Linked DNA regions of Rhinolophus ferrumequinum. The protein of the gene in region 4 interacts with the protein of the main gene of each other region in a pairwise test. Links are inferred from orthologs where the notes say so. Each region holds a gene or a part of one and is shown on either strand. Other genes may lie near its edges.

The links.
Region 1: the proteins of LZTS2 (region 4) and RIN1 interact in binary tests that used the Homo sapiens proteins (3 or more experiments, as listed by UniProt). The two-hybrid records come from large-scale screens. The link is inferred for Rhinolophus ferrumequinum from reciprocal best matches to the Homo sapiens genes LZTS2 and RIN1.
Region 2: the proteins of LZTS2 (region 4) and RAD51D interact in binary tests that used the Homo sapiens proteins (3 or more experiments, as listed by UniProt). The two-hybrid records come from large-scale screens. The link is inferred for Rhinolophus ferrumequinum from reciprocal best matches to the Homo sapiens genes LZTS2 and RAD51D.
Region 3: the proteins of LZTS2 (region 4) and TNIP3 interact in binary tests that used the Homo sapiens proteins (3 or more experiments, as listed by UniProt). The two-hybrid records come from large-scale screens. The link is inferred for Rhinolophus ferrumequinum from reciprocal best matches to the Homo sapiens genes LZTS2 and TNIP3.

What each region holds. Positions count from the first base shown.
Region 1 is NC_046294.1:5,594,271-5,601,813, forward strand, and holds the start of RIN1 (ras and Rab interactor 1), read left to right. Parts: upstream 1-4,530; 5' UTR 4,531-4,580; coding exon 4,581-4,666; intron 4,667-4,804; coding exon 4,805-4,985; intron 4,986-5,076; coding exon 5,077-5,191; intron 5,192-5,284; coding exon 5,285-5,357; intron 5,358-5,479; coding exon 5,480-5,571; intron 5,572-5,722; coding exon 5,723-6,463; intron 6,464-6,686; coding exon 6,687-6,992; intron 6,993-7,288; coding exon 7,289-7,420; intron 7,421-7,543. Other genes in the region: BRMS1 (breast cancer metastasis-suppressor 1), read left to right, coding at 1-65, 656-748, 1,993-2,057, 2,552-2,591, 3,019-3,026. UniProt on the Homo sapiens protein: Ras effector protein, which may serve as an inhibitory modulator of neuronal plasticity in aversive memory formation. Can affect Ras signaling at different levels. First, by competing with RAF1 protein for binding to activated Ras.
Region 2 is NC_046304.1:23,035,422-23,042,747, forward strand, and holds the start of RAD51D (DNA repair protein RAD51 homolog 4), read right to left. Parts: upstream 3,002-7,326; 5' UTR 2,823-3,001; coding exon 2,741-2,822; intron 2,408-2,740; coding exon 2,346-2,407; intron 2,101-2,345; coding exon 1,982-2,100; intron 1-1,981. Other genes in the region: FNDC8 (fibronectin type III domain-containing protein 8), read left to right, coding at 4,465-4,673. UniProt on the Homo sapiens protein: Involved in the homologous recombination repair (HRR) pathway of double-stranded DNA breaks arising during DNA replication or induced by DNA-damaging agents. Bind to single-stranded DNA (ssDNA) and has DNA-dependent ATPase activity.
Region 3 is NC_046301.1:4,321,787-4,328,635, forward strand, and holds the start of TNIP3 (TNFAIP3-interacting protein 3), read right to left. Parts: upstream 3,006-6,849; 5' UTR 2,987-3,005; intron 1-2,986. UniProt on the Homo sapiens protein: Binds to zinc finger protein TNFAIP3 and inhibits NF-kappa-B activation induced by tumor necrosis factor, Toll-like receptor 4 (TLR4), interleukin-1 and 12-O-tetradecanoylphorbol-13-acetate.
Region 4 is NC_046299.1:23,693,849-23,701,161, forward strand, and holds the start of LZTS2 (leucine zipper putative tumor suppressor 2), read right to left. Parts: upstream 3,002-7,313; 5' UTR 2,849-3,001; intron 159-2,848; exon of another isoform or gene 38-158; intron 1-37. Other genes in the region: TWNK (twinkle mtDNA helicase), read right to left, coding at 6,197-6,517. UniProt on the Homo sapiens protein: Negative regulator of katanin-mediated microtubule severing and release from the centrosome. Required for central spindle formation and the completion of cytokinesis.

The DNA.
Region 1 (7,543 bases), on a different chromosome or scaffold from region 4:
GGGGGAGCTGCAGGAGCGGATCCAGAGGCTGGAGGAGGACCGCCAGAGCCTGGACATTAGCTCAGGTGAGGCAAGACGCCAGCCCCGGCACCCCTGCCCCAGGCCTGGCCCCGTTAGTGCCCAGCCGCGGCCTGGACCTTCGCGTCTCTGCCTGGACAAGGGGATAGCAAGAGGGGTGGCTATAGAGACTGAATGAAACCAGGCAAAGAAAGGGCCGAGCCAGTGCCTGGCACACAGTAGGGGCTCAGGGAGAGGGCCCCCTTGCCCTCCTTTGCCCCTGCTCTCTTTTTAGAACAGGAGATGTGTCATTCTGACACTCCCACACATACCACAGCCACAGTCCCCTCCATGTCCATAGTGTCTGCCATTCTTTGGGGGCCCTGGGGAGGCAGGAATTATCATCCCCCTGTCCACTAAACAAATGAAGAGATCGAGGTTTACAAAAGTACAGTGACTTCTTTCCCAGGTTGCACAGTGGTGCAGTTGAGACCTGAACTCAGCTTTCAGCACCCAAGCCCAGGGTTCTCTCCGCTGTCCTGGGAGGTGGTTGATGAGGAAAGACTGGCCTGGCTTATGTGAGGAACACAGGCTCCAAGGGTGGGGGTGTTTTGGGAGGACCAGCACCCCAATCCTGACTCTGGGTCTGGGGTCACAGAGTGGTGGGATGACAAACTGCACGCCAGAGGCAGCTCAAAGACCTGGGACACCCTGCCACCCAGCAAGAGGAAGAAGGCACCCCTCGTTTCTGGTATCCTTCCACCCCACGGGGCCTAAGCTGGGCAGGATGGCAAGGTCAGCGCCAGACCGGGGAGTGGCGCGGTGGAGGGGACACAGAAGACAGAATCAGACTAGACACATTTATGGTCACTTGGCCTCACGTGGCCATGCCTGGGCAAACCCAGACCCCTCTCTCATCCCTGCCTTGCCCGTGCCCCGGCCCCCATTTCTGGGCACTGGGGTCCCTGGCCAAGCTGGGCCTCCCATCCCCCTCAGGAATTTTTTGTGAGGTCCTGGATCTGTCCTGGGTTGTGTGGGTCATGGAAAAATAGGAACATCCATTTAGTGACTCCCCATAACTTCCTGAGAGAAATCCCTGAGGCCCTCTGGCTTTCCCACAGTGTCACAGGCCTGTCCCGGGCCTCCCCACCCCCATGCCTTTCCACCCTCTTGGAGTGCCTTCTGCCTGTCTGTGCCTGTTGGACGCCACCTCCTCCATGAAGCCTCTCCTGATCTTCCCCCAATGGCTATGGCTTCTCTCTCCTCTGCACGCCTGTGACTTAAACTGGGGCACCCACATCTGTGGGGAGCAGTGGCCTCTGCCCCACCTTAGGCGTGAGCCCCTTCAGTCCAGGGCCTGCTGTGCCTTCATTCCTCGGGCACAGCCGAACACAAAGCTGAGGTGAATCCCCCCGCCTGGCGACGGGGCTCAGATTCAAGGAGGGCGGAATCGTGCTGCATGGACTTGAGGGGTGAATGGGGGATGAGGGTGTAGAGACACCAGGCACAGAGCACAGGAGAGCAGAGCGGATGGTCCCCAGAGGGGAGTGTGAGACCAAAGGAGGGTTTTCAGGATGGAAGAGACTGGAACGTGTGTGTCGATACGGGGAAAGGGGCCAGATAAGGGGACAGTTCAGGGGACAGACACTAGAAGGAGCAAGGTCCCTGAGCGGGTGGAATGGGCCTTGGCCTACTGACCTTGAGACTGGAGAGAGGTGGTGAGGGGGAATCAAGGTGGGAGAGGCAGGGGTGAGGCTCAGTGCCCTCCCCGCCCCCGCACCCCTGCTGGACTTGGTGACACAGGCCATAGCCACACCGACCTCTCAGAGGATCTGGGGGCCGAGAGGTAGGAGGTGGACCTTGAGCTCCAACCTGTGACCTCAGCTCCGCTCCAGGGTCCATGGCACCACCTATCGTGAGTATTGGAGCTCCCGGGGCAGAGGCCGTCTCCCGCCCCCTCCACTGGGCTTCCTGCTTCCTTAACCCCTATTGCAGGCCCTTACATCGTGTACATGCTACAGGAAATCGATATCCTAGAGGACTGGACGGCTATCAAAAAGGTGGGTCCGCTGCTGCACGCTTCCCCCACCCTGTCTCAGGGAAGGGCCTGGCAGTGCAGCTCCCACCGTGACAGCAGCTTTGGTCTCTGCAGGCTCTCCACGTGGGCTTTTGAGGGCCTGGGGAGCTCTTTGCTCAGCCCATGGTGCCCGCTGCCTTCAGCCCAGCTTTTCTGGCATTGCTGTCAGCTCACAAATCTCCTTTTACCCAAGGCTGCCCTGGAGGAGAGAACTTCTAGTCTGTGTCAGCCCCTTTCCTGTTCTAGGGCAGGTGTTGATGAGGTGGGAGTAGGGAAGAAGGGAAGGTGGGAAAGCAGCTGGGCTGGCTGGGCCTCTGGCAGGAGGCCACGTCAGAGCTTTGGAAAGTGTTTTATGCTCCCCGCCCCTGTTGGTGCCGCACTAGCCCCGCAGCTCCTACCCCAGAGACGCTGACGAGGACCGGGACCTGCCAAGTGGGAGGTAGGCTCTCAGAGGGCCTTTTCTTCTCTCCCATCCAGGCTAGGGCAGCTGCGTCCCCTCAGAAGAGAAAATCAGATGGTAAGAACCACAGGGGTTGTTCTACCCTCACTACCCCCTCCCCCAGCCCAGCCTCCAAGAAAGGAGCCCAGGTAGAGACGGTGGCCATGTCAGATCGGTGGCCTGCGAGTTCAGATGGTCTGGGTTTGAGGGCACTGTGTGAGTTTGGGGAGCAAGAACCAGGGTGGGTGGGGAGTTCTAAGCTGAAGGGTCTAGGGAATGAAGCCTCCTGCCAGGATTGGTCAGGGAGGGCTGGAATACTAAGCCCCTGCGGGGGGGGGGGAGGGGGCTAGTGGGCCCAGAGTGGTGATGGGCTCACAGCTGAGGGCTGCGGAGCTTCCCTGGGTCACACCAACGCCACTCTTCAGTCTCCCTTATGAAGGAGCTGCCTCCCTCTTGTTTCAGCCGCTTCTCACCTGCAATGGTTTTCCCTTCCCACATCCCCCAGGACCGTGACCCTGCTGTTCACAGCCAAGGGGCCCCTCGGAGCAACTGGCACCAAACCCAGGATTTGCATTTTCCTGCTGCAGAAAGGCAGACTGACAAGCCCCTCGGGGTCTGCCCAGTCGGCCCTCCAGTCCGCTGCTGCGCCCTCCCCTCCAGCCGGCACGGACCTAGCCTCCTCGGCCCCTCCTCGGGGCCTGTCCAGCTATAGGCGGCCCTAGCCAGGCTGGGCTGTCTCCTCCCTCCCAGACCAGCCCCCTGCCTCCCCCCTGAACGTCAGCCTCCTTGGTCCCCTCCCTGACAAAGAAGATATGCCTTGTCTTCAGCCAAAGCACATCCTTCCTGCTGACCTTGGACCGGCTCCCCAGTCACCGAGCCAGTGAGTTGGGCCTGCTTCACGGGAACTCTGAGCCAGAAATTACATTCTGGAGGCCTGTCTGTCCTGGCTGTTGCCAGTGGTGAGAAGGCAGTCTCCCCAGGTCTTCTCAAGGCGGTCCTTGGTACCTGCCTCCCAGATTGTGGGGACTGGAATTAAAACCTTTCTTGGGACTCTCGCGTGACCCACATGTGTCTGATTTACCTTGCAAGGGAATCAGGGCTCCCATGGAGGGTGCCTGAGACAGGCAGTCTCTTCTGGAATCTGTGGTACCTCCTCTTACTCCCTAGCAGGAGCCTACCCACTCTGACTTGGGATATAGGCCGGGGGCTGGGGGAGGCTCTCCTATCACTCGCCCAGCGGTGGGGGCTCGGCCCTGGACTACCTAGTGCTGGTGAACAAAGTCTGAAGCAACGTGGCACAGGCAAAACACATGGCCTCAAATGGGGAAGGGAGCTGGTGCTCAGTGCTTAGAGACTGGGTCATGTCTGCACCTGCCCCAGTCGCTCGGCAGATTGGCAAGGCAGGCTGGCAGGGCCTATGTGCGTGGGAGGCAGCCGGCAGCAGTGCCATGTGCTGACACCTCGCAGCCAGACTCCCTCCCATTTAGTGCTGAGTGTTAGAACCACCCCCAGAACCTCAGTTAAGCAAAGAGGTTAGTTTCCATGGAGACACAGCATCTTTTCTCCATGGCAACCTGAAATCCCAAAATCTAAGTTAGGTTTAGGAATGAGTCATCTGTGACCAGTAGGGGGCATGCTCTCACAAGGGTGACCCCCAAGGCCTGGGCAGTTGAGCAATTGACCGCAGGCTTAAAGGTGCCCCAGAGGAGAGGCTTGGGCCTGTGGGGAGGAGCCGGCCCTATGTAACCCCTTCCTTCCCTCCCACCTGTGTTGTGAGGTGACTGGCAAGGCTGTGGGAAGACCTGTGGAGGCAGCAGCCCCACCGCTTGGGCTTCTCAGAGTGGTACTTGCATGGGGAGATCCCTGCCCCCTAAGGCTGGGCCCAGGACAGGAAGCAGGCACTGCCCAGGCCGAGTGGACACAGAAGAGTTAACTGGCGGGGTGTGACAGGGTGTGCCGCCCTCAGGAAGTGTTACTCACCACCGGGAATGTGAGATGTGAGCGCTCTTGCCTTGGGGGCTGGCTTGTCTTTCTGAGTCCCAGGAGAAACCGAAGGAGCTCCCCGCCATGGAAACCCCTGGGGAGCCAGGAGCAGGCCCTCTTGGAGCCCCCAGCCCATCCAACTTCGCACCTGGGCACCTGGAGAGAGAAAAGTTAGTGAAGTTCGAAAGGCAGCCTGCTGGGGAAGGGAGGGACTGCCGCGCAGGGTGTATCCTGGAGCAGAGGAAGGGGAAAGGTTGGGCAAGGGTCCCAGCTCCTGGCCCCCGACTCAGGCCGGTGCCTGCCCCCAGGCCAGCACAGGACCCGCTGTACGATGTGCCCGATGCCAGCGGGGGGCAGACAGGTGGGCCCCAGCGGCCAGCGCGCACGGTGAGCCTGCGGGAGCGCTTGCTGCTCACACGGCCCGTGTGGCTGCAGCTGCGGGCCAACGCGGCCGCCGCACTGCATGTGCTGAGGACGGAACCCCCAGGGGTGAGTCTTGCCCCTACCCCCTGGACGTTGGCCTTCAGAGGGTGGGAGGGAGAGGGGCTGGACCTGAGCCTCCGACCCTGTCCATTCGCAGACATTCCTGGTGCGGAGGTCTAACACGCGCCAGTGCCAAGCTCTGTGCGTGCGGCTGCCCGAGGCCAGCGGCCCCTCCTTCGTCTCCAGCCACTATATCCAGGAAAGCCCTGGGGGTGAGAGGGACTGGCCTGGAGGGAAGGGGCTGGAAGCAGTCATGGCAGGGCACGCGGATTCCCCAGACAACGACTTCACTTTCCATCTCGCAGGAATCTCCTTGGAGGGATCTGAGCTCGTCTTCCCGGACCTGGTCCAGCTCATATGCTCCTACTGCCACACCCGGTGAGCCTGCCCACAGGCGCCTGGTGTCCACTCCCTGTCCTTCCTGCCCCTGCAGCCCATCTCAGCCCCCGGAGCCCCAAGCATCCCTCACGCCTGACTTTCTGTCCCCTCTCTGGCCTCAGGGACATCCTTCTCCTCCAGCTGCAGCTCCCCAGAGCTATCCGCCAGGCAGCCACCCAGAAGGAGCTGGAAGCCATCTCCCATCTGGGCATTGGTAAGGGCTCCCCTGCTCTCCAGGGCATAAACGGGCACTCTGATGCCCAGGGGGAAAGGGACGGTACTTGGGCATAGTCTGCCCCTGTGCCTCGCGCTCAGTTGGGCAACCCCCAATCTCCCTGAGGCCCTATTTGGTTTCTCTTCTCTAGAGTTCTGGAGCTCCTCCCTCAACACCAAGGCTCTGCCGGGCCCGTCCGAAGGCCCACTGCTGCCCCGGCTGAAGCCCCGGTCCCCACAAGAGCTGGACCAGGGCACTGGAGCCGCCCTGTGCTTCTTCAATCCCCTGTTCCCGGGGGACCTGGGCCCCACCAAGCGGGAGAAATTCAAGAGGAGTTTAAAAGTGCGCGTGTCCACAGAGACCTCCAGTCCCCTGTCTCCACCTGCTGTGCCTCCTCCCCCTGTCCCAGTGCTGCCAGGAGCAGCCCCCAACCAGACAGAAACGTTGCCCCCTCGCCAGCTGCTGCAGAGGGAGAGCTCAGTGGGGTACCGTGTGCCAGGGGGTGCCAGCCCCAGCCTCCCGCCCCTGCCCTCCCTCCAGGAGGTGGACTGTGGCTCCCCTAGCAGCTCAGAGGAGGAGGGGCTGCAGAGGCCCCAGGGGAGTACAGCGACCTCACCCCGCCAGGGCCGCCGCCGGCGGCCTTTGCTCCGGTCTGTGAGCACTGCCTTCTGCTCTCTGCTGGCGCCTGAGCGGCTGGTGGGCCGGGCAGCCAGTGCACTCATGCAGGACCGCCACACGGCCGTGGGCCAGCTAGTGCAGGACCTACTGACCCAGGTGAGGGCCGGCCCCGAGCCCCAGGAGCTGCAGGGTGTCCGTGAGGCCCTGAGCCTGGCCCGAGCCATGCTGAGCGCGGAGCTGGGCCCTGAGAAGCTGCTGCCACCCAATAGGCTGGGTGAGACTCCAGCCCGGCCTCCAATGCTTCAGCCCTGTCTCCATAATCCCAGCTCTTCTCACCCACTTCACTCTCTCCTCCTCTCCACAGTGCCAGCCTGTCTCCTGTCTCACCAGGATTCCAACCCCCTTTCATCCCTCTCTCCCCGACTATGCCCCTTCTCCCTGGGACTCTGCCAGGCCCCACTCCCTTCCTCTGACCTCTGCCTGCCTCTGCTCCACAGAACACGTCCTGGAGAAGTCACTGCATCGCTCGGTACTCAAGCCTCTCCGGCCCATCCTGGTGGCCCGTCTGAGGTGCCGGCTTTCTGCCGACGGCTCTCTGGGCCGTCTGGCTGAAGGCCTCCGCCTGGCCCGGGCCCAAGGTCCCGGAGCCTTCGGGTCCCACTGGAACCTGCCCTCCCCGGTAGAGGTGGAGCCGGTACGCCAGAAGCTGCTCCAGCTGCTCCACGCCTACTCACCCAGTGCCCAGGTCAAGTGGCTGCTGCAGGCCTGCAAGCTGCTCTACACAGCCCTGAGGACCCACTGGGGTATGCCCCCACCCACTGCTCCCTGCCCTCGGAGGCAGGCCCCCCAGGCAGAGAGTTCAGGAAAGGCCCAGCAGGGGAAAAAGATGGGTCCCACCCTCCCATCCTACAGATGGTGACACTGAGGCCCAGACTGGAGAGCATCTTCCCCTCAGCCCCTGCTCGTGGTTGCCATAGAGACCATATTGCCCAAGGCTTGGCAGGTGGAGGGGAGGGTCACTGTCTAAGACAAGGAGTGGACTCTGACCCTGGAGCCCCCAGGAGTCTGAAGCTTCCTTGTCTATTACACCACCCCACAGGAGAGGGTGCGGGGGCCGACGAGTTTCTCCCACTGCTGAGCCTGGTCCTGGCCCAGTGTGACCTTCCCGAGCTGCTGTTGGAGGCCGAGTACATGTCAGAGCTGCTGGAGCCCACCCTGCTCACCGGAGAGGGTGAGGGACCCACACACACAGGCCACCTCCCTGTCTGGGTGGGGCTGGGCGCCTTAGCACCTGCATGGCCCCAAGTAAACAGGGAAGGGGAGAGGGAACAGGTCACCCACCCCCAGCCTGAGC
Region 2 (7,326 bases), on a different chromosome or scaffold from region 4:
AGAGATCTCTTTAACTCGGGTTACTGGAACATTTCCCAAATTTTTGACTAAAGAACTCCCCTCCTGGTTCCCTTTAAAACATCACATCCATTCACTGTCCACAGACCACTGTGAGGAAGGAGAAACCTAGGGAGTCATCTTTGATTCTTCACACCTGAATCCTACCTGGCAGTAAGGCTTGCCACTTGTCCTCATCAATACGTCTCCCGCTGTCACCTGCCTTAGATCGGACTCACACACCCCACCGCTGCCATCCCTTTCCTTGGGCTCTCTCCTGCCAGCCTCCCTAGTCCCATCCACCCTGCACACCTCTACCACACGCCTGTAGCTCTAGTTTCACAATACGGCCCACCGCCTTGAGGGACAACAGGGTAGATGGTTTAGAGTCAGGTTCTTAGACTTAGGAGTATGACAGATGTGACTTCTGGGGTCTAGTCTGCCACTTACTAGCTGCATGATCTTGAGCAAGCCACCTAACCCGAGTCTCAGTTCCTCATCTAAAGAATGGTGATTTTAGTTGTAATGCACTCATTGGTGGTTGGGAAGAACAAATGAAATAATGCACCGTGAAGTGTAAACACGGTGCCTGGCCTTTGGTAAGCACTGAGAAAGGCCACGCGTTCCTCAATGCCCAAGACCTGCCTCCTTCACAGAGGCTTCCTGAGCCTCTCTGCTCTCCCCTGCAGTGACCCTCTGCAGCTGCAATCCTGCCAGTTTACCACTTGACTGCTCCATAAATGCTTCCTCTGAGGATGTTGGTTTTATAAGCTCCCAAAGCCCAAAGGCCAAGTCTGTTAATCACCCCTTTCTTATGCGGCCTCCACGCATGCATGCACCTCTCTGTTGTGTTCACCTGCTCTTCTTTCTACTCACTAGACCCCACACTCAAGTGCAGAAGCCTCACTTGCACACCTATCATCTGAATCTTATCTGGCACCCAATAGGCACTCAGCCAGTGCTTGATGGATAACAGACTCAGACCCCCAACCAGGGGGAGCAGGCACCATGCTGTTGAACCTTGCCAAGAGAACGTGTTATGGAAACAGCAAGGGTCAAACTGATCCAAAAACCTTTCTGATGGTAGAGTTCTTCATCAAATTCCACACCAACAGGCCCTTGGCTAGAAACTGGCTGTTGTCCTCCATCTCTCTCTCTCTTTCAACAACATGGCAGAATGTATTAGGTTGGTGCAAAAGTAACTGCGGTTTTCGCAATTATTTTTAACCTTTTAAACCGCAATTACTTTTGCACCAACCTAATAACTAGTCCTTTATGGAAGCTCTCTTGTCCCCTCCTGCTGCAGAGTATGGGGCATGCACCAAGTTCTAGGTCAAATACCCCAGGGCTTGAGCCCCACCTCTGCCCCTCACTCCTCTTGGGTTAAACTGAAGTGGCTTAATAATTACTAACTCACAGGATTCACTGAAGTGATTATATAACCTACATTCAATGGCTGGCACATAGTAGGCACTCAGTGAATGTTAGTCCTGCCAAGTTCCCTCCTGCACTATCCTTAAGTTAAAATAGGAGGTAGGGCCAGAGAAGAGTTGCTCTGATATGCTGAATAACAGTGAAATATTGACATCGTGTGTTACAGGACAGTAGTTCTCAATCAGAGACAATTCTGTGTCCCTCAGGGTCATTTGGCAATTTCTGGAGACATTTTTTGATTGTCATGACATAGGGAGGAGGGAGGTGTTACTGGCATCTAGTGGATAGAGACCAGGGAGGCTGCCAAACATCCTACAGTGCACAGGACACCCTGATCGCCACCAAATAATTATGTATCCCAAAGTGTTAGGAGTGTGAGGTCGAGAAACCCCGTTTAAGGTAAGAGAAGTCAGAAGTCTTGACCATTGGTCCAAACGGGCCTCACCACTGCCTGAGAAACCCTGCTCTCTAGACTCAAGCATCAAAACCCAAGCAGGAGGCAGCCATGTCCTCCTGCCTCTGACCTTCTTCCCCAAGTACACATACAAACCTTCCAATGCCGGTAGACAGGATGGCAGTGGAGGTCTTCAGTTCCTCGTAGAGATCAGCGCCATTGAAGGGAAAAGCTGAGAATTGGGCGAGCAGTACCCGCCTCAGCGCAACCAGGGCCTGCCGGAGGGGCGGGGACAACTCAGGACGAGCCCAGGGGCACTTCAACCCAAAGCGGACCAAGAGTACTCAGCAACCAAGAGTACTCAGCCACGAGCAATGACCAGCCAAGGGAGGGGGCATCCCAGGGTCTCCTACGCCCCACCCCACCCCCCCCATCAATCTCTCGGAACCCTTCACTCCCTGGGCTCAGGGATGAACATGTAGAAACACCCCGGTTTGGAAAGTGTAGTTCGTCAGCTCACCTTATAAGACAAGCCACATTTCTGGGCTACCTCCTCCAGGTCTGCGGAAACCAGGTCCACCACTGAAAACAAAACAAGTGTGGATGATTGGCAGGAAGGGCGGGGCTTCCCGCACTTGGCTTTTCCTCATCTGTGAAATGGGGTGACAGTGTTACCTTAGGGCAGACCATCATCTCAGGAGGCCTACGGGAACTACCAGAGCCACAGGACCTGACGCGGTGCCCAGCACACAGTAGGAGCCTGCCTGGGGTTTGGGGTGCCCACTCCCTCCCTCCGAGCCTCTCCAGAAGGGTGGGGGGCACAGGAAGGCGGAGCTATCCCCCTCCCGGGTATGTCAGGGCGGTGGGGGTGGCATCCGCGGTGTGCCCAGCTGTGTGGGGCGCACACGCGGTCACCTGTCTTGATCCCGCGGCTCCTCAGAAGCTGGATCATGTCCTGGGTAAGGCCTGGGCACAGTCCGGCCCTGAGCATGCCCATGTTCCCTGGGGACCCCGGGCCGCTATTCCCGTGGACATCAGCGGGGCCCTTTCTAGACGCCTCCCGGCGCCTCTTTCTGGAGGGGCCCCGGGCCCGCGGGGACGAAAGGAAGCGGCGGCGCGGAGAGTGCGGACCCTGCCGGGTCTCCCTTGCCCAGGGCCCGCCCTCCCGGGCCGCAGGGCCGCTTCCGGCTTCCAGGCTCCAGGGCCGGACCGATAGCGCCATCTGCTGGCTGCGAGGGACGGACGAGCGGCTTCCTGCGAGCCTCGGTTCTAAACGCTGGGCCAGGAAGCTCGACAAGGCTAGCCATCCCTATGCACAGGGGACCTGCTTGTTAGTGAGGGCAAGACAGTGAAGAGAAATCAAATCAATTAAATAGTATGGGGGCAGCCGGTTTGCTCAGTGGTTAGAGCGCAGTGCTCATAACACCAAGGTCGCCAGTTGCATTCCCACATGGGCCAGTGAGCTGCGCCCTCCACAACTAGATTGAAAAAACGACGATTTGACTTGGAGCTCATGGGTCCTGGAAAAACACACTGTTCCCCAATATTCCCTAATAAAAATTTTTTTAAAAAGTTAAATATTACAGATTATATCATTGGTGCTAAGAGGCAACGGAACACACAGAAAACACCTGCTTCTCTGTACTTTCCATTTTTTAATGAATAACAGCAAAAACCCTGAGTATATAGAACACAAAAAATAGGATTTGTTATTTTTAAATGTCCTTTGCTTTGTCTCATCCTGGAAGAAACAAAACAACCTTACAGGGTTATCTTCTCATAATCCAATGAGGCAGGTGCTATGTTTATCCCTATTTCGCAGATGAGGAAACTGAGGCTCAGGGAGGTAAAGTCATATCTCAAAGACTACAGAGCTTGTAAGGGCAGAGCTGGATTTAGCACAGACAAATCCACATCTAAGTGCAAAGCCAATGCTCTTCTCTTCTTATCCCCGAAGTTGTATGTTTTCCTACTGTACAGTGGTGTCCTTGAGAACAGAAATAATGTCTGGCCCATCTTTGTTTCCCTCTGCAGCACTCCCAACTGTCGCTCAACATACGAAGCACTTGGGGTGAGGGTGTGGCATGTTTAGAAGTCTAGCCATGAAACCTGGGTATATGTGAGCTATGAACTCCATGAACTTATGGGCTTTCCCTTTGCCTATATGACTGAACATAGTGAGGCTGTGCTGCCTAGAATTTTGGATAGAGAGCCTCAGTGTTCTACAAAGTCTCGTACTCCCAGAGACCCATTCCAGCGCTGCCTCCCTCCGTGCCCAGGTGTCTTTCTCCCACCATCCTTCTCCTCCTTCCCAGGGCAGCACCAAAAGGTACAGGTGGTAAACATTTTGAGATCTTCAGAGGACAGAGTTGCTGTAACCACAGAGCATTTGCGCTGGAAGGGTGATGGAGTCTGTTCCTTAGCTCTACCCCACTCTAGATCCTGGCCCTGGGCAGCAGCAGCCTCAGATCAAGGGAGAGGCTTGCCCCTAATTGTTATGCTCTGTGATGTTTATGAAGTCAGCTCATTGCACCCCCATCCCACCCAAATTAGGGTGGGTCCGCTGCCCCCAGTTTCTCTCTGCCTCCTGTCAGCTTGGTTGTCCTGTACGGTGACAGCTGTGGTCCCAAACAAACTAGATGGCATCAGAGGTGCTCTGTAAAGTGGGAGATGGGGAGGAGACCATGCTGAAAAAGGAAACCCTCAATGTTTCGAGTGTGCTTGATCAAAAGTCGAAGCCCTTTCCAAACCCCAAGTCTATGAACAGGACGGTTGCTACCAAAGGACTCCCACTTTCCTCAAGAGGCAGTTTGGTTAACTTCTTGGAGGAAGATACCATCAATCTACCGTAAGACAAAAGTCTGGTCCTTTTCTCCTTTCTTAGGCCAGGGCTGAGGGGTGGGGAAGGGCTTGAAGAAGCGGTACTTTCTGGACCTGTCACAACCCAGGTCCTGAGCTCCCAGGGAAGAGCATGTGTGCAGGATGCACCATGGATTCCGGACCCCAAATCACTTCTTGGAGGCATGTGGGCCTGCAGTTCCAGGAGGCCTTTCGGGATTAGTTAGAGATTTGTTAACAGTGCTTCTCGTCTACTTTGTCTAGTTAAGGTCTTTTTCCCACACCCCCAGCCACCCACAGACACCCCTGCTCCATTCTACTCCCCTAAGACTCCTCTTCTCAATCCTCCCTTCTGGTGCCTTCTGCTGCCTGATTATATCCCCCCAATAGTCTGCCTGCTTTTGGACTGAGGTTTATGTTCCTCCTCAGTAATTCTGGGTTCCATTTACTTCATTCCAAAAAACTCTTTGAGCTCCTGCAAGGTGTCTAGCCCAGGGTTAAGTTCTGGGAAGGCAGAGCTGAAAAGAACAGTCCCTGCCTTTAAAGAGCTCCCAGCCTGGGGTATGTGTGTTGGGAAGGTGCCAGGAAAGAATTGCGAATAAAGCAACTAGGAAAGGACACTGAGGCACCAGAGGGGGGTTAGTATAGCTTGGAGGGGGGTTCAGTTAGGGAAGGCTTCCTGGAAGAGGTGACATGTGAGCTGAATCTCCTAGGAAGGGAAGCAGTGAGCCAGTGAAGGGGTGGTGGTGCAGGTTGATGGAGGCTGAGGGAGTTATCTGCAGGGCATTTTCATGGGCGTGTGACCTGTGTAGTCATACACAACCCCACACTTAGAAGGGCCCAGTGCTTAACTTCAATGCTCCGCTGTCACTGTCTTGAAATTCTTAATAATTTTTGAAGAAGGGGACCCACAAACTATGTAGCTCGTCTTGATTATAGAAAAGGGATGTAGTGTCCCTTCCCCCTAATGGACCTGTAAGTAAGCGGGTATGGCTAAAGTCATGGATGTTTATAGGAAACTTCATGGTATAGTAGGAAAGTCTAGGGCTATGAGGCCACGTTCAAATCCACGTTCTACCATTTAGATCTATGGCTGTAGACTGAAGGTCATTAATTTGCAAAATGGGGCTACCACCCATCTAGTAGGGCTGCTGTAAAGATCAGAATAGAATATGTCCAGCATGTAGCCTACTTCTTCCCTGCCTTCCATGCCCACTTCTGCACTGGTGTTTTGAATAAGGAAATCTAAAATAGAGGTTCATTAGGACAATCTGAAGTATAAATGGCATTAATACTCAGACTCTTCGGCGTATAAGAGACCTTAGTGAGGGAATCATCTGTTCCAAATGTCCACCAAAGGCTAGCATAGGAGCTTTGAGTTGATCAGGATATTTTTAGGAGGAGGCCGACGGGGCTGGAGCTCAGGGAGGAAAAATTTGGCCCATCAACCAACCATGAAGCCTGTGGCTGGTCTGGAGTAAGGGATCCAGGGGTGTGTGGTGGTTGCTGGACTTGGCCAGAGCAGCTGGGGGAGATGGGGTAGGAAGCAGAGGAGAAGAGCCAGGGACAGATGGGAGCTACATAGCAATGGGACAGGCCTGGGACCCCGGAGACCTGGGTTTTAGTTCAAACTCTGTCATCAATTCACTGTGTGACCTTGACTGCCCTCTCTAGACAAGTGCTCTTCAAACTGTGGGTTGTGACCCATTAGTGAGTCAGGAACTCATTCTAGTTGGTAGAGACCAATATTTTAAAAATGAAATAAAACAGATCAAAAATTCCAGGGCCTATCACGCATAAAGTACTGGTTTGTGCAGTTGTGTTTTAGTTGTATGTATATGTATGAGTATACTACATTGCCATGTAATGTGTATTTCTTTGAGTCAAGATAAAAAAAAGATTTGAAAGCCAATTTTTGGGGGATTTTGCACTTCATCAGTAATAAAAAAAAAAATTAAGTAGTGGGCAAACATGTGGAAGGTTTGTCTTTGTAACAGTAAAGAATTGGTAACAATACAAATATCCCTGTAATGGAAAACCACACAAAAATCAAAATGACTGAGTCAGAGCTACATGTATAATACAGATAGATCTAAAAAGCACAATGTTGAGTGAAAAAGCAAGCTACCATCGATATGTACACAATGTGATCATTTATTTGTGTAAAGTTTAAAAATATGCAAAATAGGCCTTGCTTAGGGATAACATACATATGTAACAAACCCATAAAGACATATGGGGAATAATAAACACAAAATTTTAAATTTACTGGTTAGCTCTTAGAGGGAGTATGAGGACGGAGGTGGGGAGAGACACGTCCGGGGCCTTAACTATCTTGATGAGGCTTTAGTTCTGAAGCTGGATGATGGCTAAATAAAAGCTTAATAATATTAGGTTGATGCAAAAGTAATTGCGGTTTTTGCAATTATGTTTAACCTTTTAAACCGCTATTACTTTTGTACCAACCTAATATATTATTCTTGATATCTTTGGATATGTCTAAAATAGTTCATAATTTTAAGAAATTAGAAGAAAAGTTTGAGAATTCACCCCAGTATATGTATATTTATAATAATTTTACGGCTATATATTTTACATGTTAAATGCTAAGTAAATGAATTAGTAATTGCATTACATATTAAACAATAATAATAAATAAATGT
Region 3 (6,849 bases), on a different chromosome or scaffold from region 4:
TTCTTAAAGTACACCAATGTTGTGTATAAAGACATTTGAATGCTTTGAATACGGGGAAAGACACGGGAGCTCCTTACGTGCGTAGCAACCAGTACACTGTTCCCAGAAGACAATGAATAATGAATAATGAAGATTGTAGCGACCGTGTTCAGTACACAGGTTGAATGAATGCTAACGTGCATGACGTCGACGCCAGGTTAAAGGGGCCCGGCATGAGAACTTAACATTCATTTGATGTTTCTGAGATTCCCTCTACTTGAGGCTATAATAAATCATAATCGCTTTCCTTGCTAGGTTATCATTGTAACTTTCTGAACACATAATTCATTTCTGAAAAATACTTAGGTCTCTTAAAATGTAATGTTAGGGCAGGGAGACGTGCTTTAAAAAAATTAAAATGAGAGCTGGCAGTAGAAGAGGACTTGTAGAGAAGGACGACCCCAGATCAGACTATGTGGAGTGGGGCTGCTTTTAAAACAATGTGCTGTGTGATCCTGTTAAAGGAGAATATGAAAGCCACAAAAATACCGTGTTTACTTTGATAAGGCCCCACTGGAATCAATGTTGTTTGCTTTACTCTTTTACTTTGAAAAGAAGCTTGGGATGACAACCATCATACAATATATAAATCAGTATACTAGTGATGGCGATCGGTTTTTATCCCTCAGAACCTAAATGAAAAGGGATCGTGGTCAAGAGAGAAAGAGGGGTGACCACACTCACTCTCTTGTTCCTGACTGGCTGCCTCTCACTTCCTTCTTCTTTCTTTCTCACCTCCTTTGGGACAAAGACATGAACTGCAGTATCTCTCTATCCACTATCTTTCTGGACCCCACGTTACATACACCTTAAAGTTTATCCTGAAAACCATCTCCTGAGCATTTTAAATTACTGTCAAAGGACCTACCTTTCTTTCTTTCTTTCTCTCAGAAATACAAAAATTTTAGTACTCTGGGAAAAATAACCACTAAATTCTGTGTAATTGTCATCATTGGTAGAAGGAGAGAATCTAAACATGAACATGCTTTGCTGAGGAGGGAAGGCCAGAGAACGGAGGACTTGGGAGCTCACAGTCCTTACAGTTCTCCACATGGAACAAAAATGGTGTGTGTGGAAGGGGTGGGAGTGAGGGGAACTCCTACCTCTTTGCAGAATGACTATACCTAAGGAAAAGCTAAGGATATATGTATCTTCAAAACACAGAAACAGAGGGTTTGCCTTCCTTCTTCCCTCCTCCTCTTTCCTTCCTTTCTCCTCTTTCATTGTTTCTTTTTTAAACTGCATATATGTGCCCAATATGGACCTCTGAGAATGAGATACCATCTTTCCTAGAAATTATTCAACATCATATGTTGTCTTCTATGCTTCTATTGTCACATCCATAGTATCTTAGAGGTTGTCAATAGAGTCAGCTAATCTTCAGACTACTCCTGTGATGTCAATCTATATATTACTTACATTTTATAAAAATGTATATGGAATACACCAATTCTTATTGTAAACCTACTGTTAAAGTGGGTTATATGTTGTGTGCTGAGTTCTTTCCCTTGACGTAGATAAAATCTTATCAGAGAGACACGACTTACACACACAGCACAATTATAGAATCATAAAAAATAAATGCACAATAAAATGCTAAATTTATATAACTAAAGACTAAAATGCATGTTACACATACTGACTGTCACTGGTTGGGAGGCATGGCAGAAAGCAGCGTCTCTATGTTTATTCAAGCTTCTAGTCTTCCTCCTTCTCAGGGAAACCCTGTTTCCTGTTGAGCCTATTGTCAGTCCCTTGTTCACAGGTCTCAGTGGCTGCCCTTGTGCCCAGTCATGATTCTCGTGTTTGGAAGTACACATAGGCCCCTTTTAATGAAGATTTTGACAGACCAAGAACCCTGAGAACATGTTTCCAGACCCACAGGTTAAGAGAACCCTAGTTTGAGAAACACTGACGTAAGAACCTGAGTCTTATTTTCTTTTAATTATCATTTGCCTAAAAGAAGTTTTGTCTTAGACAGAGAACATTGGCCTATCGAATAAGTTCTCAGCTACTTCGTCTCTCACTTTAGATGTGTTGGTATTACGTGCCAGATGTGGAGGCCACACTGGACCGCTCACTGGCCCCAGCACAAGTCCTCGCCTTTCCTGGCGTGACATTTTTGTACACCCTCTGCCTTCAGCCTACAATACTCTTTCCTTCTGTTTTTTTCATGTCCTCTCCTCCCCGCTTTATTGCCAGAAATTAAATCAATGACTCCTTCTTCATGCATGTCTTTATGCTCATAGCTCAGAGTTTCACCTTCCTCAGTAGCTCTTTGATGAGGCAAATCATTCAACATATATTATACTTAGGTGTGTGCGTGTGTGTCACGTCTCAACTGCAAGCAGCTAGGACATACTGGATTCATGTTCTGTAAGCAGCTTACGCATAACAGGTGACAAATAAGAAGTTAAAGAAATAACTATATGGGTCAATGAATAGAGCGAGGCTTGAGAAAAAGCCATAAAAGGCCAAGGAAGGGATTTTTTGATAAGGGACTTAGTGAATTTCTCACCCTATACCTGAGCTAAGGAGTAAGTAAGTCAGGAGAGAAGATATAGCTACCTCTTCACCTTATTAATGAAATCGAGTTATTTCCTAGGAGAAAATTTGTGCTATTCAAGATAAATTACCTTAAGGGCCAAATTTGTCAAGGGAAACTTACTAAATACTTTAAAAATCGAAAACCTTCATAACCCACCATAATCCTTGCCCCTTGGATGGCAGTGAAAACCTGTTCAACTAGCAATAGCAATGAAAGTAATGAAAGAAAATGTGTTCCAACAATCACACTGTTAGCCAGTGTCTTTTTCTTATCTTTCTGTATGGTTCTATCAGACACATTCTTGTCTACTCTCAATAGACTCATCATCTTTGTCTGAAAGCAGAAGCACTCGAATTACTATTAGAGGCCTACGTCCTCTAAATAAAACATCGTTATTACCTTTCAGAGTCTTCAGGCTGGTTGGTGAACATTACCAGTTCCTTTTCGTGTTTTCGTGTTTGTTTATGAGTCATTCACGTGGAATCTAAAAGAAAAAAATATAAAGGACATGAGGCTTGGATGTGTCTCCAGGGAAGATAACTATGTCAGTCACTGGAAGAGAAAACCACCTGTTTAACGCATTTTCGTCAAAAGCCATGTTTTTATTCTCATGTCTTGTTTTCAGCACTTGCCGGTTATGAAAAGATAGACCATAAACTTGCCTTCTGCCTAGTTTCAATCAAAAGTAAAACCCTAGGTGTAAACATAGAGACTCAGTCTTTCAATTTAGGAAGCATCTCGTGACAGGGAGAAATTGTCCAGGAGTGAGGGAAAGAAAGGGGGACATTCCAACATACAAGTCATAAACTGTTAATGCTGTCAGACTGACATGTTTGCAATTCAATTAGCCGAGTCCAGGAATGAGTTCTCCAGGACACCTGGAGCTTTCATTCCTACTTTGTGTCCAATAGGAGTTAGTGATTATTTCCATGATTCCCAAGATAACAAGTGAATGTAATGTGACCATTTAAAACAAAGACAAAAACAAAAAAACAACTGTTGGACAGAATTTTTTCATTTCCCATTTTTTTCTATTTAATATTAATTGCAACTTAAGCACCAAATTATGGTCAGATATTACACAGACATCATAGTACCTCATGGGGCTTATAGTAGATTGAAGCATTTGAGGACCTGTATATGTTTTAAAAGCCAATTCCTGCAGGAACTTAACACATTTTAAATGTATCTGGAAACCACTAATTGCTATGATCCCATTAGAAAATTTAGGCACTTCAAGTCTGTGGGAAACATGAAGCTAGCTTGTCTGAGTTTTATGAGTTTCTATTGAATTGTAGCAACAATAAAAAAAATAAAAATAAAAAAAAAGTTTGCTTGTTAAAATGCTCCCAGAAGGATTTGCTTCAGCTATTGGCAAGATTTCTGTATATAGTGTGGGAGGATGGCTTTTTAATTTTGTTTTGTTTTCCGCTTGTGACAGCTGTTTAAAAGTCATCTGTTACCACCATGGTAGCCAGTTACTAGATGAAAGCAAATGCTTTTCAGGACTGTTGTAGGAACTGGACCACCAACTACTACAGCTGTCATTTTACTCAGGAAAATTACAGAAGAGCCGAGTTTCTGCACATGGAAATACTACTCTGGAAGTATTACCCAGTTCTGCAAATGCATCGAAGAGGCAGGCAGAGTGAGGTGCCACCTGACAGACAGTGACTTGCAATAAGTGCCCATACTGTAATTTTTAGAAGATGAGGTGTTTAAAATTCAATTAACTAACTCAAATAAACGTATAGTAAGCTTTTTAAAAAATGTCTCTGATGGTTTCATTGTTCCTAAAATTACCTTTTAAAGAATGCCGATTTCCCAGCAGACCTGAAAGGACACATAGAGTCCCGGAGTGTCACAGAGTCACAGAATTTTGAGACCTTAAAGAATACCCTGAGAATTATGGCACCATCATTTTACCGGAGAGGAAACAGAAGCCCAAAGAGGACAAGTGATTTGGCCAATTATTGGCCGAGTGAAGGTTTGATGTCAGCCATTCAACTCCCAGCCCATGGTTTGCTATTATTATTTCATAACTGAATATTATACAGAGCAAATTCCAAGTTTGAAACAAGGCGAGTTCTAATTTTAATATTCAAATATTTTTAAAAGTAATATATAAAATCATTACATTGTAAATGAAATCTCATAAAAATATATTTCTTGGGAAATGACATTGTGTTATTTGAACACTGGTGGTAAACAACCCCCAAAATAGCATGTGAAAAGAGAAATTTCCAGACTTAAAATTTTATAGTGTAAGATTCACAGATAATTCCTCTGAGACACTGCAAATAAACAAGTATTGCCCCAAAGTTTACAGAGCTTTACATTTCCTTTCTGAATGTCCTTTCATAGGCTGGAATTTTACACTTATTATTCTATCCAGGAAGTCAAAATATCAACTAATGATAATCAGAAAAGTCAATATCCCAGGCATAATTATAATTTCCAATAGTTTATCTGTTTCTACCAATACAGATATTTTCCAACAGAACAGTAACGAAGACGATCAGAAAAAGACACTCAGCCATCAAAGGCTTGTCTTTGAAGTGGAAGCAAATGAAATCAAGCCAACTGAGGACACAGGACTTTTCTCAATGTCAGTGACTTTCTTCCTTTTTTCCTTCCTTCCTTCTTTCTTTCCTTCCTTCCTTCCTTCCTTCCTTCCTTCCTTCCTTCCTTCCTTCCTTCCTTCCTTCCTTCCTTTTTAAAGAGAATATTAGAGAAATGAACAACTTCAGAAGTCTCAGGAGACTAAGGACACATTGGGGCCTCTTAACTTTATCTTCACTAATTACAAGTCAGGGTGACATTAAACGGTATGAAAAGGAATTCTCCTGAAGTTCTGTCTCCTATGGTTTTTCACTGAGCAAAAGCACAAAATCAGTCTGGATGGGAGGCACGGACTTCCTGAATTTTTATTGGCTCGTGTGGAGACATGAAAATAGACAAAGCACCTACTACAACAAACCAGATGATGCTGGAGCCAGAACTCCCAGTCTCAGCAGCACACGGCGGTCACCTTTGATTGTGGTTCACTAATTCCTTATAAAACGCAATTCAAACATTTTTATCTTGCTAAACATTTTAAATATTTGAAACAGATCCCAAATACTTAAAACAGATCCTAAATGGAACCAACCAAGATGGACAGAGGACACAGTGAACTTTCATTAAAGCAAATTGCATCTGAATACTGAACAGTACAAAGATAAAGGGAAGATAGGGTACCTGACGCTTCTCCACCCGTGCCCATTCAAGGTGAATTTTTTAGATGTTTCACCCTGAAGTACTTAATTTATCAGTAGTTGAGTTTTTACTGCTTGACTATAGTGTCTGCCTGCTATCTTCCCATTTCTGTTAATTTGGGGTAAAAATCAACAGCTCTGTATTGTTTGTGGCATTTATCATCTAGCCTACTGAGTCAGCTAAGAAGCCATATTTCACCCAGAAATGTTCACATATGTGGTCGACAGGACCCACAACGTTTACATACTGTCATCATTGATACGAGTGTGACTATAATACAACTACTCTCTGCCAACAAAGATACTGTGAATTACATACTGAGATCTTCCAAAATTACTTCTAGAATATATGGCACATACTTTTGAAAAATTTGGGAAAGACCTAATTTATCAGGTTAAAGTTTGATAAATCAGGAGAACTTTTCTGTTCCCTCTTTGGAAAGATGGGGATAATATCACCTGACTCTTTAGGGCTATAATGAGGCACATATGTTCTATGTCACATATGTTAAATATGTACAGTAGTGCCTGGCACGTAGTACAGTAGTGCCTGGGTGTTGTTTAAATGGAGTCTTAGGAGGGAGGAGGTAAATAATTGTGGTCATTTCACCGTCTTGAGTAATGGTAGGTGGGGGAAGCTTACATTGGGAGAGCTTGGAGTATGGGGGGTTGGTATGGATATTTCTTCTAAGGCTCCTTTTGATTCTAAACCTGTGATTCTGAGAGTCCAAGTAAAGAAATAAGGGTTTGCCTTCAAAGAGTCATCATCCTGTTGAGAAAACAGGATGACTTAGAGGCCCAAATCCAGGAGTTCTTTATGTTCACATCCCCGGAACCCGGCATGGTATCTGGCTCACAGTAAGGACCTACTATTTTAAGAGTAGAAGAAGGAAGGAATGATTCCTAACTGTAGACAGAAAAGATGTCAAAATGAAATATAAATGGTATTGACAATTAAGAGTTTGAGGATAATCGGACTTACTGTGGCCAACAGCTTGAAGGTAC
Region 4 (7,313 bases):
CACCCCCAGGTCGCCTCCCCGCCCCGGCCCCCCTCACCTCCACCGCGCTGCTCCATGCTCAGCCCCGGGCCGCCCCCCGCGCTCCACCGGCGAGCCGCCCGGCTCCAGCCCGCGCGGCCACTCGGAGCGGCCCGGCCGGACCCGGCCCCGCCTCCGCGGCGCCCCTCGCGGGGCAGACCCCGCCCGGCCCAAGTGGGCGGTGCAGCGCGGGGGAGGGGTCCCAGGGGCGTCCCCGCCCCCGGGGCGCGGGCACGCGCAAGCACCCCGCGTCACGCGTGTCCCGCGGGGCGCACGCTGGCGCTGCACAGCCGGACTCAGGATCCCTCCCTCCCAGGCCGGTGGCTGTGTGTCTGCGGAGTTCGGTCGGCTCAGGACTCGGTGGCGGCAGCAGGTCACCCTCTACTCCAACCGGGGCCCCGGGGCCAGTGGCGGCTGGTCATTGTTGGAGCACAAAGGGCCTGGCGCCGTGGCGGCCGCCCTACCCCCTCCGTTCTTCTAGTTGAAGCCTCCCTCACAGACACTCTCCGGCTTCGGAGTCCAGAGTGGGAGGCCGAAGGCCAGCTGCCATTCACTCTAGCCCGCGGCCCGGGCCCAGAGCCCGCTCCCCCCCAGCACACGTCAGGGGCCAAGGCTCGGTCCGTGCTTGCCCCACCCCCAGCGTCTTGGAGGCCGCACACTTGGATTTGCGGAGGCGGCGCCACCTGGCGGCGGATTCGGAGAACACGCCCAGTTACCCCCCAAATCCCGACCTCGAGCGGGGAGTCCTACCTGACTCCCCAGCGCTGTATCCCCCTCCTCCTGGAGCCCAGGGCTGCAGCAGGCGCGGCCCTGTGCTCCCCGACCTTCCCTCAGTGTCATTTGATAAAAGAGGATATTGCTCAGAGATGAAGGCCCTGGCCCCTCAACAATCACTGGGGTGAGCCTGTCCAAATCTACAATCCAAACCTACTGCAGCCTCACAGCAGACAACATTCCACTGTCTTCTCAGGGACACGAATATTCTCACCCTCTGGCAAACACAACCTTAACACCCACACGACCTTTCCCACATTCAGTTTCACACAGCCACAATCAGTCTCATCCATCACGTGGTTCCATGTTCCTTCTTTCCATCTTTCAAGCCAACAACTTACAGAGAGAGACACAACACACTCGGTGTCACACGCCTAGTTGTGCATACTTTCACAACTCACAGTCCTTCACACGCAGTCACAATATTAATAAACACACTTAGTCTAAGCATGTTTCACACATTGACAGTCTTATTCACACACAACTTTTTACACATACACATATTGCTCAAACATTCTACCATACAGACTTTCCGTGGGGGTTTATGTGAACTGGTCAGGTCGGCTGATGGAGCACCCCTGGGCAAGGACAGCCACCCGCCCCCTAACCCCCGCCCAGGCCTGCCAGAGCTCCTCTGCCCAGGGAAGGAGCATCCCCCCCTTCCAGGCCACAGCCCTGGCCGGCTCTCAGCTCTATTTTTAGCTCTATGGAAAGGGTTGTTTTTCTTTCTTTCTCCCTGGAAAGGGAAACATAGCCCAGCCACCCTCAGGCTCACCCCGTTTCAAACCCTCAGCCTCACAACAACAGACGGAGCCCCTCTCTCCGGTAGAGAGAGACCCCTCTTCTGGCCTTGCCCTGATCCCAGCCTCCTGGGGCACTAGGAGCCTCCTCCCCTTTCTGGCAAACTGCCCAGAAGCTCGGGCAGCAGCTGGGCTCAACGTGTGTGTGTGTGTGTGTGTGTGTGTGTGTGTGTGTGTGTGTGCGCGCGCGTGTGCGCGCGCGCGCGCGCGCGCAGAAGTGGGGGGTGGGGAGGGGAGGGAGGCCGAGGGCCGCTGCCCACTCCCTTACTAGTGAGGTGGGATGAGGGGATGGGGTTCGTCCTCCTTTCTACCGGAGGGGCATAGGCCCAGTCTGGTACTGAAAAGGAGGTCCTGAATTCTCTTGGGGTGGAGGACTCCCACTCTTGCATGAGTGCGTTTTCTGCTCCTACCTTGGGGGGGGAGGAGCTCCTAGTTCTGCAAGGAGGGGTGGTATTAGCAAGGAGAACGACAGGCGCTCATGTAGCTACGGTTGCTGCTCCCCAGGCCGGAGGAATGGGGTAGGAGCTGCCGTCCACTGCTATCAAGAATAGCGCCCCCCTCTGATACCTTCAGGGATGGGGAACCACGAATGTGTTCAGGAGAAGGGCGAGGACACCAGGTAACCCCACCCCAGTCCAACAGTCTCCGGTACGCCGGTGCTACCCCATTCCAGGGGGCGTTGTGCTCCCATTTCTGGGGGAGGGCTTATCACCTCTCGAAGCGGAGAATGGAATACAGCCCCCTGTGGGACCTCGCAAACTCGCCCTGGACTAGCAAGGGAGGTCTTCGCCCTGAGGCCGGGGTGGGGGAAGCACAACCCACCCGTCTGCGAAGCGATCCGGGGCTCGGCGCCTGTTTGCATATTAGTCCTCACCTGCCGGCGGCGGGGAAGCAGGAACAGCCCGCGGTGTCTCGCCCGCCTCGCCCCTGTCTGCACTTTTCTCCCGCCCCTGTCAAGCGCCGTGCCCGCTGGGGGTCTGCGCCAGCCAGTGGCGCTGCTCCACGGGCTACAAGAGTAACTCACTGGGCGCGTCCTTTCCTGGGTGCACGTGTGTTTGTGTGTCCCAAGTGCGTGAGTGGGTGTGTGTGCACGCGTGTGTGGGCCCGTCGGTGTGAATTTCCGCGTCGGTCCCCTGTTCAGGGACCCCCCCCCACTCCCATCCTAACCCCCAGTTTCGCCAGACCGCAAAGTTTAATCCGGAGCGGAGTTGTGCGGGAGGCGGGAGTTCCTACACCTTTGCGCCCCCACTACTCACCCAGCACCACCTGCGCCGCTGCTTCAGCTCCTGCCTGGCTCCTCCTGCTCCAGTGCGGGCACCTCCTCGATGCAGATCCGCCGGCTCCCAAGCCCGCTTCGGGCTCCGGACTCGCAGCGCCCGCCAGGCCCGGCCTGGTGGAGAGGGGCGGGGCCGCTGAGGCCGCGCCCCCAACCGAGGGAAAGGAGTGGTCTGCTCAGCACCCACTCAACGGCCAAGCCGGTACCAAACCCCGCAGTAGCTCCACGGTGACCCGAGGCTGCCCTCTGGTCTCTGACTTCACAGCTTACAGGATCTGGCTTTCGACCTGGGGAAGGGGCGAGCGGCACGTGACCGACAGCTAAGCTACCCACCTGGCTGCCCTAACCAAGCTGGCTATAAGACTTTTTCTGCCACCTCCCCTGCTCTGGAGGGAGCCAAACCTGGTCCACTCTCAGCCCACTCCCCAGACGCCGGGAAAACCCCTGGGAAGCAGACAAAGAAGGCTCGGGTTTCACCAAAACAGACCCGCCCCTCTGTCCCCTCCTCCCTCCCACCCCGGCTCCGCGTGCCCCCACACCTCACTCTCCCCTGAAGTAGTGTCTGCCAGGTGAGCAGACCTACCAGTTCTGGCCCCCCACAGAGCATGGCCTGGCTTCCCTTAGACTCATAAAGTTCCACCCACAGGCACAAACAGGAAGTAGGCCTGCATTGCAGGGAGGCACCTAGAGCTCCCTCCCTCCAAGAAACGCAAGGCAGCATATGATGTCTACAGGTATCTGGGCCGTATTTACAGCCGGAGTACTTGGGCAGCATAAGTCCAGTGAATTTAGTTCCTTCTCAAACCCAACCGCAGTAAAGAAGCTACTGGAGGACCAAAGCAGCCCTCACAGCTGAATCTGAGATCCAGCTGGCCCCTGCTTGGCCAGGCCCTTCCTGAGCTCTCAGGGAGATTCTTAACATGCAGTTGGACGTAAGCAGAGTACTTTGCCTCAATCCACTTTGGCAATGTCCAGGGTCAGTGGCTCCCAGGGCCCTTACACAGGACTCAGGGATCCCTCATTGCTTTCTAGGTTCCAGGTACTCCTGAACACATTTTGGGCTCATCTTGATGTGAATAAAGACAGGTGTGGAGTGGAATGTATTTGTATAGGGCGTAGGGCAGGGGGAGCATTAACTTCCCCTCCCCCCATCATTCTGGTTTATATTGTGTGGGGTGTCTGCTAGGAGGATGGGGCAAGACAAACAGGCAAGTGTGTATCTATCCCTCTATCCCCAATTCACAGACACCTCACAAAGTTCCCTTAATGGAAACCCCTAAAGGATTTCCTGAGAACACACAAAACATTCTAGGAAGACGAGAATGTGGAACCCACGTCTTTATAGGTTAGGACTGACCTAGTGGTGTGCATCTGGAAGGCATGGCTGACGTTCAATGTTACAGACCCTGGATGAGGCTTAGACCAGCCAGCGGCTGGGAATGATTATTGCGGGGATTAGGAGGCCTGGCTCCAGCCAGTCTGGGAGAGACCCCCAAGAAGGGAGGCCCTCCAGGAGCTTTCCCCTCCCTTCCCCCAGGTTCTCCCCCCAAACAGCTTAGCTCCAGGTCTGTTTCAGGAGCCAATTGTAGTCAAGGTTCTCACACATAAAAGACAGCGACCCCAGACCCTTCTGCAGGGTCCTAGAAACCCCTCTTGGGTTGACGGGGAGATCTTGATAAGGCAGCCTTGCTTCCAAGGAGCAGGGAACCAACCGCCACCCTTACAAAAGGCTTCTCCCTAGGCCCCTCTTGCATTCTTACCACTCTTGCAGGCAAATCTAAAGGGAAACTGGGATTTTAGGATATTAGAGGAAGTGAGATGAAAGTCTCATCATCTAGGAATATTTCCGACAGGGTCTCTGTGTAACTTATTTTCTCATCTCCCTCAGGACTTGTTGAAAACGAGGAATCCTATGTCTCTCCTTGAACCTCCAGAATTCGAAATCTGTGAGGATTGGGGCAAATTGGGCCTATGTTCTTCTTTTTAAAACAAGAGTCCTAGGAGTTCTGACACACACTAACATAAGAGAAACACTGAGGGTACAGGAGGAGGGAAGTGGACGGGGGCCAGGTAAGAATATGCTAAGCCTGAGTCCACATTGCAAGAGGTCAGTTCGTGGCTTATTATCACAGAGGGACAGCTTGTCAGGCTGAGCTTAGGTAAGTGGCCAGGTGACTCACATCTCTGCCAGAGATCACATGGAGATCCTCAAGGAAAACAGGGATAAAGAGACACCATCATGTCTTCCCCTGGCCAAGAAGAGGTGTCAAGGGTGTGTGCATGTAAAGGCCCTTTAATGCTCTTGCTTCCTTGGGAGCGGAGCTCAAAGACTGGGGTGGGGGAGGGGACCTATCCCAATTCAGAGGAAAATCGTTATAGACTGGGGAGACACCTGGTGGACAAATAAGAAACAGCACAGAAACAAAAGCAATGGAAAATTTATTTTAGTAAAACTTCAAAAGGCTCTACAAAAAATTATGACTGCATCCACTGCAGCGGTCTGAGGCAGCATACCATACAATGTGTCCAGGTGGCAGGCACGCTAGGTTCACAGCTTCTTTCCATGGCTCTCTGGCCAAGCTTCCACCTTTGGGGCCCTAATATTACAGGGCTAAGCACCTAGGATCCAATGGTAGTGAGTGCCACCACACAGCAGGCTCGACTGGAGCGGAGGAGTTTGGTACCTACCATGTCGCCCTTCGGCTCGGAAAGCCTATGCTGGAATTTTGGCCAGAAGTCCCCTATTCTCCTCCAGGTTCAGGGGGCCTGACCCCACTACTCTGAACTCAACTTGCTCATTCCCACCTCAGGGCCTCTGTATTTACCTTTCCTTCCGCCTAGATCCCTCTTTCTCCAGATGTTCACGTGGCTCAATACTAGTTCTTTAGGCCCGGGCTCAAATGTCCTCTGCTCAGAGACAACTTTTCAGACCTTAATCTAAACTAGCCTGTAAGTACTATCCCATGACTATTTTATTTTTTGAATAGCATTTTTCATTATCTAAAAGTGTGTTTTGTATTTATTTGTTCATTAGCTTACTTGTCCCCACACCAAATTTTAAGTTCCATGGAAGCAGGGACCTCATCTGTCTTGTCAGTGCTATATTCCTAGGACCTAGAACAAAACCTGGCACACAGTAGGTTCTCAAATATTTGCTAAATTGAATTCTCTCACTATGGGACCCTGCCCTAGGCTAGGTCCCTCAGACTGAGAAGAGCCCGTAGCTCAGGACCACAGGACAGAGGCAGCCCTAGCAGAGGGCCAATAAAGAGTCTATGCCCCAGCCTGTCCTGTCAGGCTTATTTCAGTGTCCAGCTCTGTACTGCCTTCACCTTGAAGGCTTAGAGGGGTCTGGCTGGTAGGGGTTGGGGGCCTTGCTCGAGTAAGTCTCAGAGTTCTGGGACACAGCACCCTTTTTGCTAGAAGAGGGCTTTTTAACCACTAGCCCATTGTCATCCTTGATCTTCTTGAGCCGGGCCTTGCTCTTTGGTGGTATGGAGAAGGTTAGAGAGCTCTTGTTGAACTCAAGCGGGAAGACACCTACGTCTCCATCAAAGCGGTTCTTGGCCACCTGTAGATACCGTTTGCCTGGTCCAGTTACCAGCTTCCTGTCCTGCAGGATCAGAACATTGTCTGCTTCCTGGCTTGCCTGAGGGATGGGGGCAGAGGACAAAGGAGCAGTGAGAAGACATATGAGAGAAGCAGAAAGAAAGGTTGAGGGTGCAGGGAGAAGTGGCAAGAATGAGGAAAGTACTTCCCCCCCTTCATCAAAGCTCTTTGAACTACTGACCACGATGCTTGAGGCCACGTGAGTTTTTCAGTTCCATAACGACCTTGCTGCTGTCCCAGATTTTGTATCTGCTGTTCCCTCTGCTTGTAACACTTCTCCACAACTCACCACCCTACTCAACGCCAGCGTCTTATCATTGAGGTCTTGGTTTAAATGTCATACTTCACTAGAGAGACCATTCTTGATCCCCATAAATAAAGAAGGTACCACCATCTTTCCACTTCTGTGTTATTCTCTTCCCCAGCTCCATGTTTGTTCCATTGTGGCACATAGTTTGTGCTCCTCGCCCTGTATTCCCTGTGCCCAGCCCAGGCCTGGCATGTAATAGGCATTCAGTGTACCATGGGGAGCTCTAGGATCGGGCTGGTCCTGCTGCTCAGAAGGCATCCCATTTATTTGATTATTTCACACCTACTGTCAGCCAAGACTAAACCCAACCTTTGCTGACACCTCCTCTAGGAAGCCTCCCCAGATGTCCCAGGCTGACTCAGATGTCTTTTCTCTTTGCTCCCCAAATACCTGTGCTGCCTATCATAACTTTTATCACACTGAGTTGTAATCACTCTCCCACTGTCTCCCCACCAGAGGATGTGAGCTCCTGGAGGGTGAGGAGGGCAAAGGACCAGCTATTATCAGACTTTGTATTCCTCGTGTC